Linked DNA regions of Bombyx mori. Each later gene encodes a partner of the first gene's protein in a complex. Links are inferred from orthologs where the notes say so. Each region holds a gene or a part of one and is shown on either strand. Other genes may lie near its edges.

Region 1 (10,095 bases):
GCGCTTTGTTGAAGCGGTACGCGGGAAAAAAATATCGGGAAATTCTTTTTTCGGATGAAAAATTTTTTACCGTAGAAGAGAGCTACAACAAACAAAATGATAAGGTGTACGCACACAGTAGTGAAGAAGCGAGCAACCGTATTCCGCGTGTCCAACGAGGTCATTTTCCATCCTCGCTCATGGTATGGTTGGGAGTTTCTTATTGGGGCTTAACAGAGGTACATTTTTGTGAGAAAGGTGTAAAAACGAATGCAGTTGTGTATCAAAATACAGTCCTGACGAATCATGTGGAACCTGTTTCTCATACCATGTTCAATAACAGGCACTGGGTATTCCAACAAGATTCGGCGCCAGCTCATAGAGCGAAGAGCACACAAGACTGGCTGGCGGCGCGTGAAATTGACTTCATCCGGCACAAAGACTGGCCTTCCTCCAGTCCAGATTTGAATCCGTTAGATTACAAGATATGGCAACACTTGGAGGAAAAGGCGTGCTCAAAGCCTCATCCCAATTTGGAGTCACTCAATACATCCTTGATTAAGGCAGCCGCCGATATTGACATGGACCTCGTTCGTGCTGCGATAGACGACTGGCCGCGCAGATTGAAGGCCTGTATTCAGAATCACGGAGGTCATTTTGAATAAACTTTAGTGTCATAAGAATCTATGTTTTGTTAAGTTCATTTTGGTATATGAATGGTTACATAATGAATAAACTTGTTTCAATTATTTTACATTAAACATGTGACAGAATTTATGACCTGACTAGGTATATATACGCTATAAACAGGATTTTATTTAAAAAAACAAATTGTTTACGTCTATATTAGCTTAATTATTATTATCGAGAAGTATCTTGATTGATATATATTACAAGGCTTCGTTTTTTATTTTATTTATTTGTTTTTTATGATCAATCAATAACCAATAGTCGTCGAACAAACGATAATTGATCAAAATGAATTAATCTGAGCGATAAAAATAAAGATAAGTAAGTAAGTAAGAAGGGGCAACATAAGGGTGATCATTTGTTTAATTAATTATAAATAAATAAAAGACAACGACAAAACAAACGACGAACAAATAATTAAAAATTAAAAAATCCGAAAATCCAAAAAAGGGGCCAAATTCAGTGAGCCAGAAACTCATTGGGCATTTTGCATCAAACACTGTTTTGTGAAACATTATTAATCTGATCTTTTATTAATTTGATGGCCTGGGGACCAGACTTTTTATCTTTCATAATCCCTGAATTTGACGTGCCTAGGGTAGGAAGTGCGAAATTGAGTTGTAGGATTACTGCACCAAGTGTTTACACCTGGTATTCATTTGCAAGACTTCGGCTTGTGTTATCGGCAATAATTGTAACACTAAAGTTTACTTACTACTGTGAAACTATCACTTTTATCTTATGACTTCCAATACAATGAGTATATAACAGTCCTTATTTGCAAATATTGGAAATGCACTGTAATATTATGTATTTTAATACATTATATTATATTTTATATATTTTTGAAAGCCTTGGCTTGCAAGCATTTCAAAGGGGGCTACACCTTCTTATTAAATTTAAGTAAGACAAAAAAATCCCAAGCATTGTAACTATCGAGCATCTTTAATTTCATATAGCGGTTTAGGACAAGACAACATTCGAATCGCGCGATGTGATTGTGCCGGTGTTCAAATCCGCATAAAAGTAGGTACCATTTTTTATTGAAATACGCACTTCACATATTTTCACGAATTACTCCCACGATGAAATAATAACATCGTCCAACAAAAATGAAACCCGCAAAAACTATAATTTGCGTAATTAATGGTCTTGTGAGCTCACACATAGGTACCACCACCATGCCTATGAGATAAAATAATGAAGTATCACGATTAGATATCCAGTACAGATTTACATGATACTGGAATTTTTTTGCATTGCATTCCATACAAAATTTTGTCTTGGTTCTGTACAGTGTGGAATAGACTCGATAAAAAATCGATTCTTCGATTCATTGGTCTCAGATCGCACCCTGACACAGCGTGACCAGATTTAGTAGATTTCTACTTTTTTAGTAGATTTTGAGGTACTGGCAACACAATTTAGTATGTAAAAATTATTTTGTATATTTTAGTAGAATTCACGCTTTTCATTTAATCTAGTACTTTTTGGCATAACGGATAAATTCCCCCTTTCATCGAATGGATTGTAACTATTTAATTTTCATTCTTTTCGTTACCGTTCGTGCCGTGAGCATAGTGTGATAGACTAGTGGGAATTCCTTCATTGAGAATTTTTATAATCGAGCTTAAAATGAAACATAAATATACATAAGGATATCGCGACGTCCCATTCATCACGATACCTTGTAGTCGCAGCACAAAACCTGCAAATTGTTGACAAAGAAAATAGGGAATTAAAGTTAGATGTTTCCGTGTCTAATTTATTGTCAACTTCTAGTTCGACGTCTGAAACTTTTATGGTGGATAAATTTTGGAGTGAAGTCAGCCAAATCTGTCAGCCAAAGTAGAAAGAATAATTTCTGATTAATATCCTATTAATATAGGATTAAAAATCAAGATCGAAATCGATTTAATAATAAGAATGTTGCTGCAATACCTAATGCATGAAAAAGAGGGGCTATGACAGTTGATGTCACACATTTGATCCTGACAGAAGTACAAGATATCAATGGACTCAAAACAACTTTTTTTTTTTAAGGTATTTTATGACCTGGTAACTAAGACCTTTAGGTCAAGTCTTATTTTAATTTTAATGATACGTAACTTTTATAAATGAAAATGATATTATAAAATGAAATGAAGTTGATTATGATGAAACATGGCATAAAGTGAAATGAAAACGAAATGAAATGACATGAGATGAGATGATATGGGATGAAGTATAATCTCAGTAAAATGGTGGTCATTTACTGAGACTTTTTCAGTGGACTTTTTGGAAGATCCCGAGAAGTTACGTTCAGTGGCTTTGTTTTATTTTCCCAAATTTGTGCACTTTCACAGATACTAAACAGTTAATAAACCACCGCTATTACACGTTTAAATCTGAAGAAACACTAACTAGACAAAATAAAACAAATCACACAACTTCACTCCTCACGTTCCCGCCAAAAGTCCACTCAAAACAACTTTATGCAAATGTTACCCAACCTAAAGACGAAAATTATATTTTTAATTAGAATTTAATTTAAACAAGAACATTGTCTCTTTAATTAATTGTGGTTTCTTTTTATTATTTTATTGTTTATTGTTAAATTATATTTTATTGTTAAATTAAAATAATTAATTGTTATATACACATAACAATATTTCACAATTTACATTGTAACACGACAGTAAAAAAAGTATAATAGATTTTTAGTATTTCTCTTTCTCTTTTGGTAGAATTCAGTAGATTTTAACCTCCACAAGCAGTAGATTCATCAAATGAAATCTGGTCACACTGCCCTGACAACAAGTGTCAATAGTCTATAAGGTCTTGTAACCGTTGGCCGTAAATAAATTAAAAAAAAAAACAAATGTCAATCACACGATTGAATCATATGAATGAATGATATGAATTCGAAATTATTTTAGTCAAGACTCTGGTTAAGAATTGCTTGTTTTTAAACTTGCAAAATTGTTTAATTTATTTCATTCAAAATGTTCCGTTTGACAAAAAACGTGATTTCGGTGGTTTGTAAATCCGCAATAAAACAGAAAACCCAATTAAATGGAAACGGCGTTGTTATATTTGAGCAAAGCAATTTTTTTTCCGATTCTGGTAAACTACCATGATTTAATTAGTATTATACCTACTTATTTTTGTATCTAATTTCTATGTTCTAAGGTTTAAGTTAATAGTGTATATTCAATGTCATAATATTATACAAAGTTACGCTATATTATTGATTTTTACCCTATCAACAAAATGTGCTAATCATTTACATCACAATTGCCACAATTTTTTGAGTAAACATGGAATATTATACATTACGTGTCAACTTCCCACATCAAATACATTTGTTATTCAATAAACATTTACTGCAAAATTTAATTTTGTTGCAAATTTATTATAAAAAGTTAAAATCAGTACATGTTTCAGCAAATGACAAATTTTCATTAAAACATGAGGAAGTTGGCCGGCCTTTGTATTTCGATGCTCAAGCCACTACACCAATGGTAAGTAGAACATGATACGAAAATTTTACATTTATTCATATCACTTATGAATGGAGATTTAAGTGCAATTAACTTCAGGATCCTAGAGTTCTTGATGTAATGCTACCATACTTAGTAAGTTATCATGGCAATCCACATTCAAGAACTCATGCGTATGGATGGGAAAGTGAAGCTGCTGTTGAAAAAGCCAGAGAACAAGTGGCAAATTTAATAAATGCTGAACCAAAAGAAATTATATTTACTTCAGGAGCAACAGAATCAAATAACATATCTGTTAAAGGTGTGGGTCGATTTTATGCACCAAGAAAAAAGCATGTCATTACTACTCAAATTGTAAGTTTTTAATTATTTTTATTCAAAAAAGTCCTTTAGTAGTAGAAATTTCTATAATAAACATTATATTTTTAACTCACTGCATAAATTATAATAGCTAAGTAAAAGATTGATTCATAGCCATTAGAATGAACTTATCGACACTTGAAAGGCAAACGTGACTAAGCGACAATGCGTGAACTTTACAGTAGACTAATTTAAAGTTGAAATACCCGAAAAAAATTATATTTTAATGAATCTAGCTGTAGGATTGAAATGAATTTAATAGACCTAGAAATATATATTTTTTGCACATCGAATATGGTTATTGCCTATCATTCATATTATTATAGACATAGGCCTCATACAAAGCAGTTATTGTCGCTTAGTCACATTTGCCTTTCAAGCGTCGTTATTTATTATTTATTTCAGTCGTTGTAATTTTCATTTAGTCTGTCTATTAACACAAGTTTACACTTACACTATAGTCACAAGATTACATTGTTGCTTTTTTTTTTTCAAAAATTATATTTTGGTAATAATGGAGTTTTTATTCTTCAGGAACACAAATGTGTTTTAGACTCATGTCGTGCTTTAGAAGGTGAAGGTTTCAGAATTACATATTTACCAGTCCAACAGAATGGAATTATAAATTTAAAGGATTTGGAAGATGCCATCACGCCAGAAACCAGTTTGGTATCTATAATGACTGTCAATAATGAAATAGGTTTGTAAACATGTAAACTTTTTTCATTATGTGCTATTGTGATTTGTAATCTCTGTAATGTTTATATTTTTTTGTTAATTTGTTATATATTAATAACCTTTCAACTTTAAATATATTGTGTGATATGATAGCAAGGAACATTAATAAACTAATTTAACCTCAAGATCCAAAAATTTGTTGACATTGTCTTATCATCATTAACTTGTAATATTTTATAATTTAACAGTAATGTAAATAAATTATAAACTTTATCTGACCTTGCAATAAAATAAAATTGTTTGACAATTTGCATTATCATAAAAGTTTAATATTTCATTCAAAGTAACATCAATTACTCCCCTCGAGACATGATATTGCTGTCTCACTTCAATTGTATGGTGGTCTCAAGCTTCAAACTTAATGCATAACGGCTCTGTACCAGAAATTGGCAGGGTAATATCAACTACTTATGTGGGATTATATTTTTTTAATATTCAGTATTACAGGCCTCCTAGAGGCTCAGTCACAGTTTTACAATCCATACATTTGAGATGAGTCTGAATCCATTGATTTCAGACGACCCCTAGCCCTTGGGTAGGTACTTACGCTATCAAATACAAAATTCCAAGACTTGTAATATATGTAATTATTACAATCATTTATTTATAAGTACATACCTAATTACATTACATGTGTTGTGCTGCCAGATAGTTACATGTCACTTTATTATTGGGTGTTTTCAGATTTATATTATTAAATTTAATTAAGTATTATATTTGCATTCCGATCTTATAAATTTTTGAGGGAAACAGGAGCATAGCTGTGATTTAAATTTTACTTTACTTACTATGTTAATTAAGTAATTTCTCTAAAATATTGTCTCCAACAAATGAGTGGAAAATTCTGTCTTAAATGGTTTTCTAGTTCATTACATCATTAGATTGGCTGTTTCAATGTTTAAGCTTGTTTACATTTTTTGTAACTTCTATTGAAAGATGATATTTGGTAAGGTAACACAAAATTATAGAAATAAACTTAGCTCCTTACTATACTTGAGACCTGAGAACATATCTCAAGGTGGGTGGCGCATTTACGTTGTAGATGTCTATGGGCTCCAGTAACCACTTCACATCAGGTGGGCTGTGAGCTCGTCCACCCATCTAAGCAATAAAAAAATAACGTGTCGCCACGGAGAAATCTATGTAATCGCAAGCATGATTCTTGTTTTATTTTGCTGTAGATGCACATTTGGCACAAGTGTGCACCATTTTAATGAAAGTAATAAAAAACGATTCTCGCAAAACTTTCTTGCGATGCATGCGGTCCGATCTGCTCTCAGAGTTTGAGTGCGCAAAGTAAGCGCAATTGAGGGCCGCGATCCGCGTCGCCCTGCCCGTTCCCCGCCGTTACGCGCAAGTACATTACTTTCTGAACTTTATGGATTGTAAAACTGTGGCTAAGTACGGTGTATCTGTCTAGATAGCACCACCCAATCTCTTTCCATGAGATGTAGTTACCACAACCCTGTCTATTTTTGTAACAGAACAGTCATGCATTCCATCCGGTTTGAAGGGTGAGATAACCACACAATAGATGGAAATCCATCCGGAAATTAATGTGAGTAGTGGCACGTTGTGAAGTTTGGACCAAGAGAGCCATGCGCTTCTTTTCCAACCTACGAAATGACAGTCAATTGTGCTGTGAAAACTACAAACAACGATTATTTTTTACAACAACATGCATTTTACGAATCTAATTGAATAAAATAAAAATGTTATTTATTTCCAAATTAATTTTATAGAGATAGTTTGTGTTGAGCCTACCTAATAATTAACCTAATAGATACCTACTTATGGTGGAAATGGCTCGCTACTTTCCATAACTACACAATTTACAATTTAGACATAAATATAATTAATTATTATATTTACGATTAAAAGTAATACAATCTTAAGTCAGTTGTCGGACAATATAAGTTACAACGATAATCTTTTTTATGAAATCCCGTAAAACAATTGGGTTATTAATACAAATTTATTGAAAAGATAAAATCTTTAGCACAGAGGTGTGTACACCATAAATCTATATAACTTATATGTAATAATATGTGTGTGTAATATTTGCAGGTGTTAGACAACCAATTGAAGCTATAGGAGCAATATGCAAAAGCAAGAAAGTATTTTTTCATACTGATGCTGCCCAAGCTGTTGGAAAGGTACCTTTGGATGTTAACACAATGAACATTGATTTGATGTCGATTTCTGGACACAAAGTTTATGGACCTAAAGGCGTGGGCGCACTATACATTAGGCGGAGGCCTCGAGTGCGCGTAGAGCCAATACAGAGTGGGGGTGGACAGGAGAGAGGCATGAGAAGTGGAACTGTACCCACACCACTTGTTGTGGGATTAGGTTCGTTGACAATGTTTTTATTACCATAGATATGTTCACAGTACATCTATTAAAAAGTTATTAGTCTGTAAACGCCATAAATAGATACTGCAGCCCAGATTTAGACAAGTTGTGAAAATCTATCCCTTTTTTGTTTACCGGTTCTAATAAATAATGTATAGTATTTCATCAAAAAACTGACGCTCATCCTAACACATGCGAGTGAAACTAGGTGTGTTGGAGCAGACATTACATCCTGCAATCAGTACTTGAGATAATAATGAAGGAGAGTTATACAGAAATGCGACGATGTACTGATGGATGTTGACACAAGTCTTAGTAGTAGTTTAATAGGGCTAGATAATAGTCTAAGTATAGATATAATAAAAGAAAGGAAAGATATAATAGATAATATCTAATTAATGGCCTAAGAAAAACCAGTAATGAATTCATGATGAAAATGATAAGACCTGTGTATTTAAACACCAAAATACAGCTTAGTTACTTACATTATTTTATTGATTTAGGGTAGGTAACTAAGCCTTAATACGCCTTAAATTTTTAAATTAAATATCATTTTTTTGGGTATTTTAGGAGCTGCATGTGAGTTGGCCGGACGTGAAATGGCATATGATCATTTATGGATGGAAAAATTATCTAAAAGGTTTTTAGAAAAGATTAATTCTAAGCTGACACATGTGATAAGAAATGGAGATGCTGAACAAACATATCCAGGCTGTGTAAACTTATCTTTTGCATTTGTTGAAGGTCTAGTGAATTTTTTTTTTGTTTACATTATCAAGTGTTATTCAATTAATAATGGAACAATAGAAATAACTTTGTAATCTTTGCACAATATTTATTTATAATCTTACTTTCTGATTATGCAATTAATGAAAAAAGAGAAACTTTTATTTATTTAATTTTGATTCTCACAGGTGAATCTTTGTTGATGGCTTTAAAGGATGTAGCCTTGTCGAGTGGTTCAGCATGTACTTCTGCATCATTGGAACCTTCGTATGTTTTAAGAGCAATAGGAACTGATGAAGACTTAGCCCATAGTTCAATAAGGTATAACATATTCTGACAAATTAAATAAGTTAGTTAATCATCAGTTACAAGTTTTCAGTTTTACATTATTTCTAATTTTATATTACATTTATTTTATAGATTTGGTTTAGGTCGCTTCACAACAATCGAAGAAGTAGACTACACAGCTGAAAAGACGATAAGACATGTTGAACGATTAAGAGAAATGAGTCCACTCTGGGAGATGGTACAAGAAGGCATAGATATAAAGACAATTCAATGGTCGCAGCATTAAAACGTAAAAAAGTTAAAAATATTCCAAATCTAGACGTAGGAAATTGTTTTATTTAATAAGATTGCAAAGATCTGGTTCGAAATGTGTATTTATGCAAGAGTGTAATGGAAAAAAGATCATTTAAAATAGGACAGGAGATATGTTTAAAATGTCTATAAAATACGACATTTTAATGAAATTCCTGCATAAAAAAGAATCATGTACCAAATGTACAGAAGACACAAGTTATGAAATGTGTGATATTATTTTTATTAACAATAAATAGAAGTTGCGTTGAAATTTCTTTTATTATTTTAATACATGTATTAGATTCAATAAATTACACCACAATATTTGATTTATAAAAAAGCTTCGAAATGTTGTCTTAAAATAAACATCCAGTAATATTTATAAAAATAATAATTAAAAAACTGTATCTTATTGTCTATTTGAAATATTGATATTTTCCCATAAAGAATACTAGCTATTAATTAATAATACTTTTGAAATACACATACAATATAACACTATATATACTGCACTGCTTAATGGACGGAAACAAAACAAAAATGACACAATATTAAAGCTTCAATAGATATATAGGTGGTTAATTGATCACACTGCAATAAATTATACAAGCATTGATTATATTAATATAATATGTATACAAAATTGCTAATATAACATTTGTGATACAAAATTATTTAATGTTGACTGCAAAGGTACAGTGACTATTCACAACTAAGGCCAGCCAAAACAAGTTTTATTATGCGTAAGCAACTAATAATACACTTCACATTTGCATTAGCTCAAATAATTGATCAAGTTGCTGAATTCTGTGGAATGTTAACAATTTTAAATTAACCAGAAAATAAGTAATTTTCTTTTTAATAGTTATCATTGTTATCAACTTGTTCCAGTGCCCACAAATAGAGATCTAGCAGTGTTTTCCTCCTGTCTTGGATATTTATAGCACATATGAAGACAAGGAAAAGTTCATTATGTTATATATAATTATGTACATACTGTCTTTGAACACTATACATAACTTTAACTCAAAACTACAAAGCTGGAGGCTGTTGTCTCCAGCTGTTTAGTACAGTAGTCTGGATTAGTAATCATTTGTTTATTGAAGCATTCTAATTGATAATTTATTATTAAAAACAAATGTATTATAAGATAAATTTATTATATAAGATAAATTTTGTGTTA
Region 2 (10,173 bases), on another chromosome or scaffold:
TTCCTCAGAGCACTCCCCATGGAACATACGGTACAAAATACAGAGGGAACCGAAGTCCCTCCGCAGACCCAGAGGTTCCAAACGATCCGTGAGACCGGGATTATCGACAATCCGAACGGCCCTCCTCTGTATGGAGTCAAATGGAAGAAGCTGGTATTTGGGAGCCCCGGCCCAGAGATGGGAGCAGTACTCCACGCGAGGCCGGACTTGTGCTTTATAAAGCAAAAGCCTTTGTCCAGGCGTGAAGTACCGCTTCGCTCTGTTGAGGACTCCCAGCATTTTGGACGCCAACTTGGCTTTGCCTTCCAAATGACTCCGAAACTGGACATCGCTCGAAATGTCGACCCCAAGTATCCCAATACTCTCGGAAGGTTGCAGGGATACTCCTTGGAATTGCGGTGCCATGACAAAGGGGTCCTTCTTCGCAGTGAACGCGCAAACTTGTGTCTTTAACGGGTTGAATTGAACCAAGTTCAATTCACCCCATTTGGAGACTCGCCCCAGAGAGTTCTCCACTTCAGACACAAGTTTTGATCGTCTCTCTTGCACCACGCTCCGAGAGAGACTCTGATGGCCGATATATCGCGCATCCCCCGTGCTGTCATCCGCATAGCAATGCATGCCATCAATAGACAGCATGTCATTGATATACAGGATGAAAAGCGTGGGGGAGAGCACCGAACCTTGTGGAACGCCAGCGTTAATGGTCATGGTATCAGAACAGTCACCGTCTACAACGACCGTGATGCTCCGCCCATCCAAAAAGCTAGCGATCCACTTGCAGAGACCCTCGGGGATTCCGTAAGATGGTAGCTTCGACAGAAGTGCCCTATGCCAGACCCTGTCGAAGGCCTTCGCAATATCAAGGCTCACAGCAAGAGCCTCGCCCTTGCTCTCCAAGGCTTCAGCCCACCTGTGAGTAAGGTATACAAGAAGATCGCCAGCTGAGCGACCGTGACGGAAACCGTACTGTCGGTCACTGATCAGCTGGCGATCCTCCAGATACTTCAGGAGTTGTATATTAATTATTCGCTCCATCACCTTGGAAAGCAAGGAAGTTATCGCGATAGGCCTGTAGCTCGATGGGTCCGACCGGTCACCCTTCTTGGGGATAGGGTGGACGTGGGCAGTCTTCCATGAAGACGGAACCCTGTTAGCGCAATAAGAGAGGCGATACAAACGCGTTAGCGCAGGCGTCAGCTCAGGGGCGCACGTTTTCAGAACCACTGCAGGGATGCCGTCTGGCCCGCTCGACTTATGGACGTCCAGGAGTCGGAGTTCCCGCCTGACTGCACACTGTGTAAAGCAGATCTCCGGCAGGGAACTATCACACCGGAGGATGTTCGGTGGTGTGGCACCCCCGTCGTCCACAGTCGAGTTCGAGGCGAAGAGTTTGACCAGAAGGTCAGCCTTCTCTTTCGCACTATGGGCCAGACTGTCATCGGACTTGCGTAGTGGTGGGAGACTAGACCTGCAAAAGTTACCTTCTGCAGCTTTGGCGAGCGACCAAAAAGCACGGCTCCCAGAGGGATAGCTCTTCAGTCGCTCGCCAATTCTAGCAACGTGCTCCGATTTCGCCCTGGCAATAACCTTCTTGTAGGACCTGGAAGCGGCGTTATATTTCCGCCTTTCCTCTGAGATGTTAGGATCCCGACGTCTCCTAGCATCATCCCATGCAACGTATGCGGACCGCTTGAGGTGTGCAGCATCCCTGCTGGCATTGTTATACCAGGGTCTGCTGCGACCCCCAACGGGCACTTCAGAGGAGGGAATAAACAATTCCATCCCCTGGAGCACCACGTCTTTAAGACGGTCCGCACAGACGTCAGGATCAGCAGAGGAAAAGCAGAACCGCCCCCATGGGTAGGATGCGTAAAACTCACGCAATCCATCCCAATCTGCTGACAAATACTGCCAAACTCTTCGATACCTGGTCGTCGTTCGACGACTAGGACGAGAGAGTGGTGTGGCAGCACGGATAAGGCAGTGATCAGACGATCCAAGTGGAGCGTCGACCACCACACTGTATCCGGCTGGATCGGTGGTCAGCAGAAGGTCCAACAGAGAAGGCTCGTGCCCCTCAATATCTGGGACACGGGTGGGCTGTGTCACCAGCTGGGAGAGGCCGTAGGCCAAGGCGAAATCGTAGGCAGTCCGACCCGGGAGGTCAGTGGTTCTGGACCCCAACCACTCTTGGTGATGAGCGTTAAAGTCTCCAAGAACCACCACCTCCGCAGATGGGTACTGCTCAAGCACGCGGTTAGTCCCCTCTTGCACATGCTCTATCAGAGCTGAACCTGCATCACTGCTGTGGGACCTGTACAGGCACGCGTAGACTCGGGTACAGCCCCCGTGATCAATGCTAATCTCAAAGATTTTGACTTTGTCCAGAAATGTAATCCCAACCCTGCTGTACAGAAGACAGAGTCAATAATCACTAAATCAAACAAGCCATCCAATTCATAATTAATTAGGAGCAAGACTAAAAAACTCCTTTGGGAAATACCCGTAAACATTGATTGAGACTGAAGGTAGTCTGCATATTGACAGATGAAAATATAATATAGAGGAACTAGTTGCGTGTTGTGGTGTAGAATAACACCACTACATCTCTTCCGGTGAGTGTCTCACTCATGAGATCGCCAATTGGTATTTAGTAATGACAGTATTTTTGAAGCACAGATCCAAATTAGAGTAATTAGACTGATGGGTGAGTGCATTCTCTGGGTCAATTTAGAAGTGTAACCCCAGTTAAAATTAATATTGTGTAAAGGGAAATAGCAATCATCAATGTCACTCTCCACTGCACAGAGGACTGAAAAGAATGAAGGAACATGTTCCAAACAAAATGCTCTGTAAAGGTCACTACCCTCAGCATTAAGGAGCACAACCGCAACAAGGATGAGGAAGGGGCAATGATAAGATGACACTTAAAAAACCCTGAATGTTTTTTTGTTACTAATTATCTACGCATTATTAGAAAGAGCTGAGCCATCTTGTGTAATATACATTACGGATTCCTAAAAAACTTGACGTATCATTCATTTCATGTTAGCAAAAGTATATTGTCTTCAACTTTAAATACAACATTCACTTTTCAGCCCCTCGGAACGATAACTGGACTGTATTCACTGTGCTTCGTTTTGCTCACACGTTTCTTTATCAGTAACTTCATAAATAAATTATGCTTTCTTCATTTCTAATACCACCAGTATTTAAAATTAATGTGGCTTAGGTTTATGTCCGTCCACGTAAAAGTTCCTAGTTGCTTTCGGTAATTGTATTACCATACCTTCCAATTCTTTTGTTAAAACAATTTGACAACCTGCAAATAAAAAAAAATTACTTGGATTGGCAGCCTCAGATTTGGGCCCAGTATCTAAATAATACTAGAAAAAAAATGGGAAAAAAGGAGGCAAATGCAAACTTTACAACTGTTTTTTTTAAATTGCACTCATTGTAATGAAATTAAAAGCTGTGCTGTCTCACTATCTTGAGGGAGTGCGGAGGGTCATCCTTATCCTTATCCTTCAAAATGACGAGTTGGTATTTGAAGCAGTAATGCGTTTCGGTATAAAGGGTGGGGTAGCCGTTGTAACTATAGTGAGACCTTAGAACTTATATCTCAAGGTGGGTGGCGCATTTACATTGTAGATGTCTATGGGCTCCAGTAACCACTTAACACCAGGTGGGCTGTGAGCTCGTCCAACCATCTAAGCAATAAAAAATATTGCGATTTATCTAGTAAAACGTTAAACACTTTACACTAAACGCTGAAAAGGGTCAGAATTAACATGCTACCACTCTCTATTGCATAGACAGGTGAACGAATTACGGCCCACTTAGTGTTAAGTGGTTACCAGATCCAGAACATTACAATGCGAATACTTCCACCATCACACCCTTTATTAGGGCCATTCTGTATGTAAGTCCACATGAGTAGGTACTACCATCTTGGCTTTTCTGCCGCGAAGTAATCATACATTCTCATCAGAAAAGCTAGACTATAATTCCCGTACACGGCGCGCTCTTTTTGCTTACTTATGCTATTAGAATGTGTACCTAATCTAGAATTTTCTTTGAGAAACGGAGCCATATCTAACAGATCATCTTCTTTCTCTTCCGATGGCGGGAGCTTATCTAAGTAATCGTGAGGAATGTATACGTGGCAAGTTGTGCACGCCAATGAAGCTTCACATGCACCTGTAATTAATAAGTATGGTTAACTTATGGATACATACTATTTTACTAACAAATAAATATTTACTAACAATCACGCCACGTTAACTGGTCCCGTGATAAGTTCGTAAAGAACTTGTGTTACAGGTACCAGATAAGGGAAATAAATGTAAGATTTTTATTATACACATACATAATATATTAAATATACATCCATAACCCTGGAAAAGACATTTATATTTATCATACAAATATCTTCCCTTGGCGGGATTCGAACCCGCGACCCCCTTGTGTAGTGACCATGTCACTTACCACTACACCAGACGGCCGTTTGACCATGTCACTTACCACTACACCAGACGGACGTATACTACTATACTATTGTGAGTAATTATCCAAAGCCCACATGCATACCTAATGTTATGTGTTAAGAGATTACTGGACTGGACAAAACAATTAACATGTAAGGTACAAAGTAATCTTTTTTTAAACTTTAATTTCATTATTGTAACTTGACTGGCTGGATTCAGATTATGGTGTTGAATGATACCGTGTCATAGAAAGAACAATAATAATTGAAGTAAAACACTACAAACCTTCCATAGGAATCTCATATCTATGTGCTAAATATAAAATGTTATCACCAACTTTCCCTTTAACATTTATTTTAACTCCATCTTTATCAACATATACAACGTTCACACTGAAATATAAATTATTAATAATAATAACTAGGAACAAATGAAGCATTTTTTTTTTATTGCTTAGATGTGTGGACGAGCTCAGACGGTGTTAAGTGGTTACTGGAGCCCATGGACATCTACAACGTAAATGCGCCACACACCTTGAGTTCTAAGGTTCCTAAGGTCCTGGCTCCTAAATTACTGGTGGTAGAACCTCTTGTGAGTCCGTGCGGGTAGGTACCACCACCCTGCCTATTTGTGCCGTGAAGCAGTAATGCGTTTCGGTTTGAAGGGTGGGGCAGCCTTTGTAACTATACTTGAGAACTTAGAAGTTATATCTCAAGGTGGGTGGCGCATTTACGTTGTAGATGTCTATGGGCTCCAGTAACCACTTAACACCAGGTGGGCTGTGAGCTTGTCCTCTCATATAAGCAACAAAAAAAAAGAAACTTAGATTTACTATGTGATTTACACAAAGTCTTTAGTGATGTTTAGCACCATGTATTGCCAATTTCTCTAAGTACTTGTATCAATTTGAAGATTAACATAGCCATGCAATCTACACCATTGTTCATTAAACAAAGAAAATCTTTTTCTTAACTAACAGAAGAGAAAAAGGGTACTTCTTTTTTTGCCTATTTACACATATATTATACAAGAGATAACCTTTATTATCTGTGCTTTAATTAGTAGCTTGATTAATAAACTTATTATGGCTACATTTATAAAAACAAGTTTTAATCTCATCTCATGCATAAATAAAATATGTTTCCTTTTAAATCATATTAAAATGTATGTGTGACTTTAGTATATTAATAATGTATGACTTTAGTATATTAATAATGCAATATAATAATATTTACTAGATATAAACATTTTTTAAATTTATATCTATGAATACTGAAAACATAACAAAAATTATATCATATTCTATTAGCTTGTTTATTTTTTTGTGTTTAGTATATAAAGTACATAATTTTTTAATTTACTGAAGATAGTAAATATAATCATAACCTGTTGAAGAAACTGAAATTTCAAAAAAACTAGTATAAAAAATATGAAAAATAAGAATGGTATTGTTTTGTTTTGATTCGATCAAGGCCCCGTTTAAGGTTTTCAATTGTAACTACTCTTTAGATTTTCTAGATAATATATGTAACAAAATTCCTTTCAGATTTCGCTTGTGGCGATACTCACACTTCATCTTCAGACTTCGGATCTTGCCATTCGTATTCTCCGTGTTTTAAATCTGCCGATAACATTTTAATTAATATTTCTTGTTGTCAGCACTAAACATATAACGCTATGTAAATACTCACGATTCGTAGTGTGAATTCTCTTGTTTTGTACAATAAACGATCGTCGCAAATCACTCAGTCTATTACACGAGATAAGTCGTTTAATTGATAATTGGAGCATGATACACAACGTGCCTTTGTTGAGAAAACTTCGAATCAAAATAAAATAATTCGGTTTTTGGTTATGTACATTGAATATTTTTCAGTCAGTAGGTGTAGGTAGGTACCTACCTATGAAGTTGACATATGTGGACAATAGAGACTTATTGACTGTCGTCAGCTGATATTATTATATCAGTCTGTGGCTGATTGTAGTGTAGGTCATAGGTAGGTATACTTAGCCTTTGGCAGCTCTCTACTACCATTGATTTATAGGTATAGTCTGTGATGAAAGAAAGCCCGCAAAAATTAAAGGACTTTTTGGCGGGAACGTGAGTAGTGAAGTTGTGTGTTTGTTTTATTTTGTCTATTTAGTGTTTCTTCAGGTTTAAATGTGTAATAACGGTGGTTTATTAACTGTTTAATATCTGTGAAAGTGCACAAATGTGGGAAAATGAAACAAAGCCGCTGGACGTAACTTCTCGGGATCCTCCAAAAAGTCCACTGAAAAAATCTCAGTAAATGACCACCATTTTACTGAGATTATTCATCCCATATCATCTCATTTCATTTAATTTCATCCCAGTTGATTAATGTCTTAAATTAATCATCTTGAATTCATTTCATTTCACCCCATATTATCATTTTTCATAAAAAGAAGAATATTAATTAAAATAAGACATGACTGAAAAGTCTTAGTTACCAGGTCATAAAATCCCTTAAAAAAAAGCAGTAAAATTACAATCCAATTTTTTTAATTTAAATTAATATACATAGGTACATATATATTCTCACTTCATGTTAAATACTATATATTAATTGCGTTGTTTGACATAACATCGGCCGGTACGTGATACGTCAACAAACTCGCAAAGGTCAAAACGTGATTGAATAAAAACTTCACTGTCCAAAATATTTTAAGACGATAAGCTTCGTTCCTCTCAATAATAATAAAATTGATTTCTTAGTTTAACCTAAGATTGAGATTTCAGTGTGATAGATAAAACAACACAAGCTCACTCTCTCTGTCCAAAATGCTAGTGACGTATTAATTTTAAACATATAACTTCTATGTGAATTAATAGTTTAAGCTGTAACATTTCAGCAGTCGCCTCTATACAAAACCCTTTGGTTTAATTAGCAATTTTTTGTAAAGCTTGCAATAATAAAAATTAAATGTCATAATTGTCATATTATTCAAGCGTCAATCATATGATGACTTCTATACTATAAGGCCATTTTGTATAAAATATTAATGAATTGATAATAAAATATTGATTTTTATGATAAAGGCTTAGGTAGTTCAATTAAAAAAAATGTTAAATATGATCATTTTACGCAAACATGCGTGATTATTACTGATAATCTTACAACAACACGTGATTTTTAATGAAAAACATTGCTGATATATTCTTATTTTTTGGTGAGTGACGTGTTTAATGCATTCGGCATTCGCGCCTTTAAATTTGAGCGATAGGTTCTACATTCTTAGAAAACGTTGTTTTAACCCTCTGAAATCAATATTTATAAATTGAGGATAGTATGTTTTATTATTATTTACTGGTCACTTATTTTATGTCGTAAAAAAATGTAAACTAAAATCGTTAATATATTTGACTATGTACTTTAAACAGTAATAGGAAATTGATTGTTTTGGAAAATATAGTAATGTTATTCATAAATCTCTTGTGGAAAACAACAAAGTGCTCGATTTGCATTTCTTCCCACAATAGTTCAGATTTCAAGTTTTTATTGTGTTCGTAAATGAAACGTCCAGTTGTGTAACTTATATTACATAGTCCTAGGACTAAATGTGTTTTAAAATTAAAATACAATGATGGACGAGATACTTTCAAGTATTTAACCTATTTATCTTGCTTTCCCTTAGTTCTGGGGCGGTCTTCTGCAACATTAATTCACATTTAATTCTGTGGGGAGCTGTCACTGTTGCTCATGAATTGTTCATTAAAAACGTCAAGGGCCTAGGCAAGCTATTACAATGGATACTCAATTTTATTGTTCTTACAATATATTAAAGACTGGCACAGATAGCATATTATAATCCTTAGTTTATAACATTCCCTTTACACTGCAACACTTTTTTATATTTCTTAGATCAATGTAACGAAAAAAATCAACAAACTCACGCCCCACCCAGTGTTAAGTGGTTACCAGAGCCCTTAGACATTAACCACCTTAATACTCTCACCTTGGAACATGAGTTCTAAGTCTTAGTATTTACAGTAAAATGGCTGCCCCGCCCTTGGAACCATAAAGCATTACTGCTTTACTGCAGTAATAGGTAGAGTGGTAGGGTACCACCACAGGTACCTACTCGGGAGCCCTATGGCCGTATGTAGCCCGTGAAGGTATACATATCCGTGCGGGCTCACGTGATTCCCCACCATCAGTAATTTTGCAAATGATAATTTTTGAGCATTATTTTTTTATTATACTATGTTATTCCTTCATCTTGGAAGTCAACTATGAACAATTATAAATTATTTCATTAGAAAAACTGGTATCTACCAGCATGATTTGAACACTGACACATTTGCTATGCTCAATATGAATGCACTTGGCTGCCTTAAGCTGCAATGACTTCTATATTACTTTAAACATCTACATTACTACTATATGGCAGAATTAAGCTACTAACTACTCATGTGGACCTAAAAACTTAAGAGTATGTTTTCTTTAATCTTCCAGAATAATGTCTCTAAAACTGCACAGTGAAAACAAGCCATTGCGAAGGGATCCAACATCATTCCTACCTGAGGAGGAGATGTCATATGAATTCAAAAAGAAGAAAAAGAAGAAAAAAAAGATCCAGGAAGATCCATTCAAAGATTTGGAAATAGAACGCAAACATTTTCCAGAGGTGCCAACATTCGCTTTAGACCCAGAAGTAAATATTAAAGTAGAGAATATTGAGGTGGAATTGAACTTCGATGAGGTAAGACATATAAAAGTATGTTTGCTAAATGTAAAAGCATATTGCAAATTCAGTCCACTAAATAAAAAATACTTATAGTCATATTTATAAATTTGATCCAGTTTTTACTCTTACTTGGCTCAATGAACATTTTAATTACCAATTATTATATTGATTAGAATATGCCAATAAATAAATAGATATTTCAAGCTAGAAATTGTAAAAATACCTAAATTCAATATTTTTATTATAAACAGTAGAATAAATAGAAATATGTAAATACTTAGAGATCTGAAAACATATTTAAGTAGTTATTCAAGGACTTTCTTGCTATTTCCTAATTTCATCAATTTACTTTTATTATAAGAAGAACCATTGTAATTTACATCTAGCACTTGTCAACACCCTCTATCAAAATTAAATATATATTTAGATGTATCACAAATACATGTGCATAAAAACACACAAATCTTATATCATGTAATACAGTACTTGCTAAGCTGATGGTATGCATTGTAAAATTTTAAAATTATTATTTAAACGAGATAAGGTGGCGACATTCTTATTTAAGATACTTCTGGGAAAAAAAAACGTCTTAAGAACTACTGGGCTTGGGTCCTAAAATATATTATTTGTGGTCCTGAACAATTCCATATTTGCCGTTTTAGCTGTGCCCCTGAGATGTCACATATAATGAATGTTTGCTTTCAGTTGAATTTTCTGAAAGTGACACGGAAAAATAAAAATATGTAATCTAGTTTTCTATTGATGATTTCACCACCATAGTGGTGAAGGAACCCAATGTGATAATTTTCTAGCTTAATACTTTGTAAATGTATTTATGAGTTAAATTTTATATCTGAATTAAATATTTTGTACAGCCCAAAATGAAGTAGTAGCTATTTAGTTTAATACTTTTAAATATTTTTTCTATATTGCAGTATGCCGATGATGCTGGTAACACTGAGCCGTTACAAAA

What was found.
Region 2: the proteins of cysteine desulfurase, mitochondrial (region 1) and adrenodoxin-like protein 1, mitochondrial are in contact, whole or in part, in a cryo-EM structure (PDB 8RMC), measured with the Homo sapiens proteins. The link is inferred for Bombyx mori from reciprocal best matches to the Homo sapiens genes NFS1 and FDX2. Residues at the interface, in NP_066923.3 of Homo sapiens: Gln153, Lys157, Leu160, Asp161, Arg164, Ala168, Tyr175, Ala384, Ser385, Leu386, Glu387, Pro388, Tyr390, Arg393, Gln456, His457; in NP_001384335.1 of Homo sapiens: Ala104, Cys105, Glu106, Ala110, Cys111, Pro141, Leu142, Ile169, Thr170, Arg171, Asn172, Phe173, Tyr174, Val175, Asp176, His178, Lys181.

What each region holds. Positions count from the first base shown.
Region 1 is NC_085110.1:10,985,893-10,995,987, reverse strand, and holds cysteine desulfurase, mitochondrial, read left to right. Parts: upstream 1-3,458; 5' UTR 3,459-3,653; coding exon 3,654-3,774; intron 3,775-4,095; coding exon 4,096-4,172; intron 4,173-4,250; coding exon 4,251-4,505; intron 4,506-5,045; coding exon 5,046-5,211; intron 5,212-7,316; coding exon 7,317-7,601; intron 7,602-8,174; coding exon 8,175-8,348; intron 8,349-8,518; coding exon 8,519-8,651; intron 8,652-8,750; coding exon 8,751-8,904; 3' UTR 8,905-9,183; downstream 9,184-10,095.
Region 2 is NC_085130.1:1,944,945-1,955,117, forward strand, and holds the start of adrenodoxin-like protein 1, mitochondrial, read right to left. Parts: upstream 6,483-10,173; 5' UTR 6,282-6,482; coding exon 6,182-6,281; intron 6,112-6,181; coding exon 6,060-6,111; intron 4,883-6,059; coding exon 4,776-4,882; intron 4,204-4,775; coding exon 4,063-4,203; intron 3,326-4,062; coding exon 3,222-3,325; 3' UTR 1-3,221. Other genes in the region: zinc finger protein 62 homolog, read left to right, coding at 8,973-9,215, 10,136-10,173. UniProt on the Homo sapiens protein: Electron donor, of the core iron-sulfur cluster (ISC) assembly complex, that acts to reduce the persulfide into sulfide during [2Fe-2S] clusters assembly on the scaffolding protein ISCU.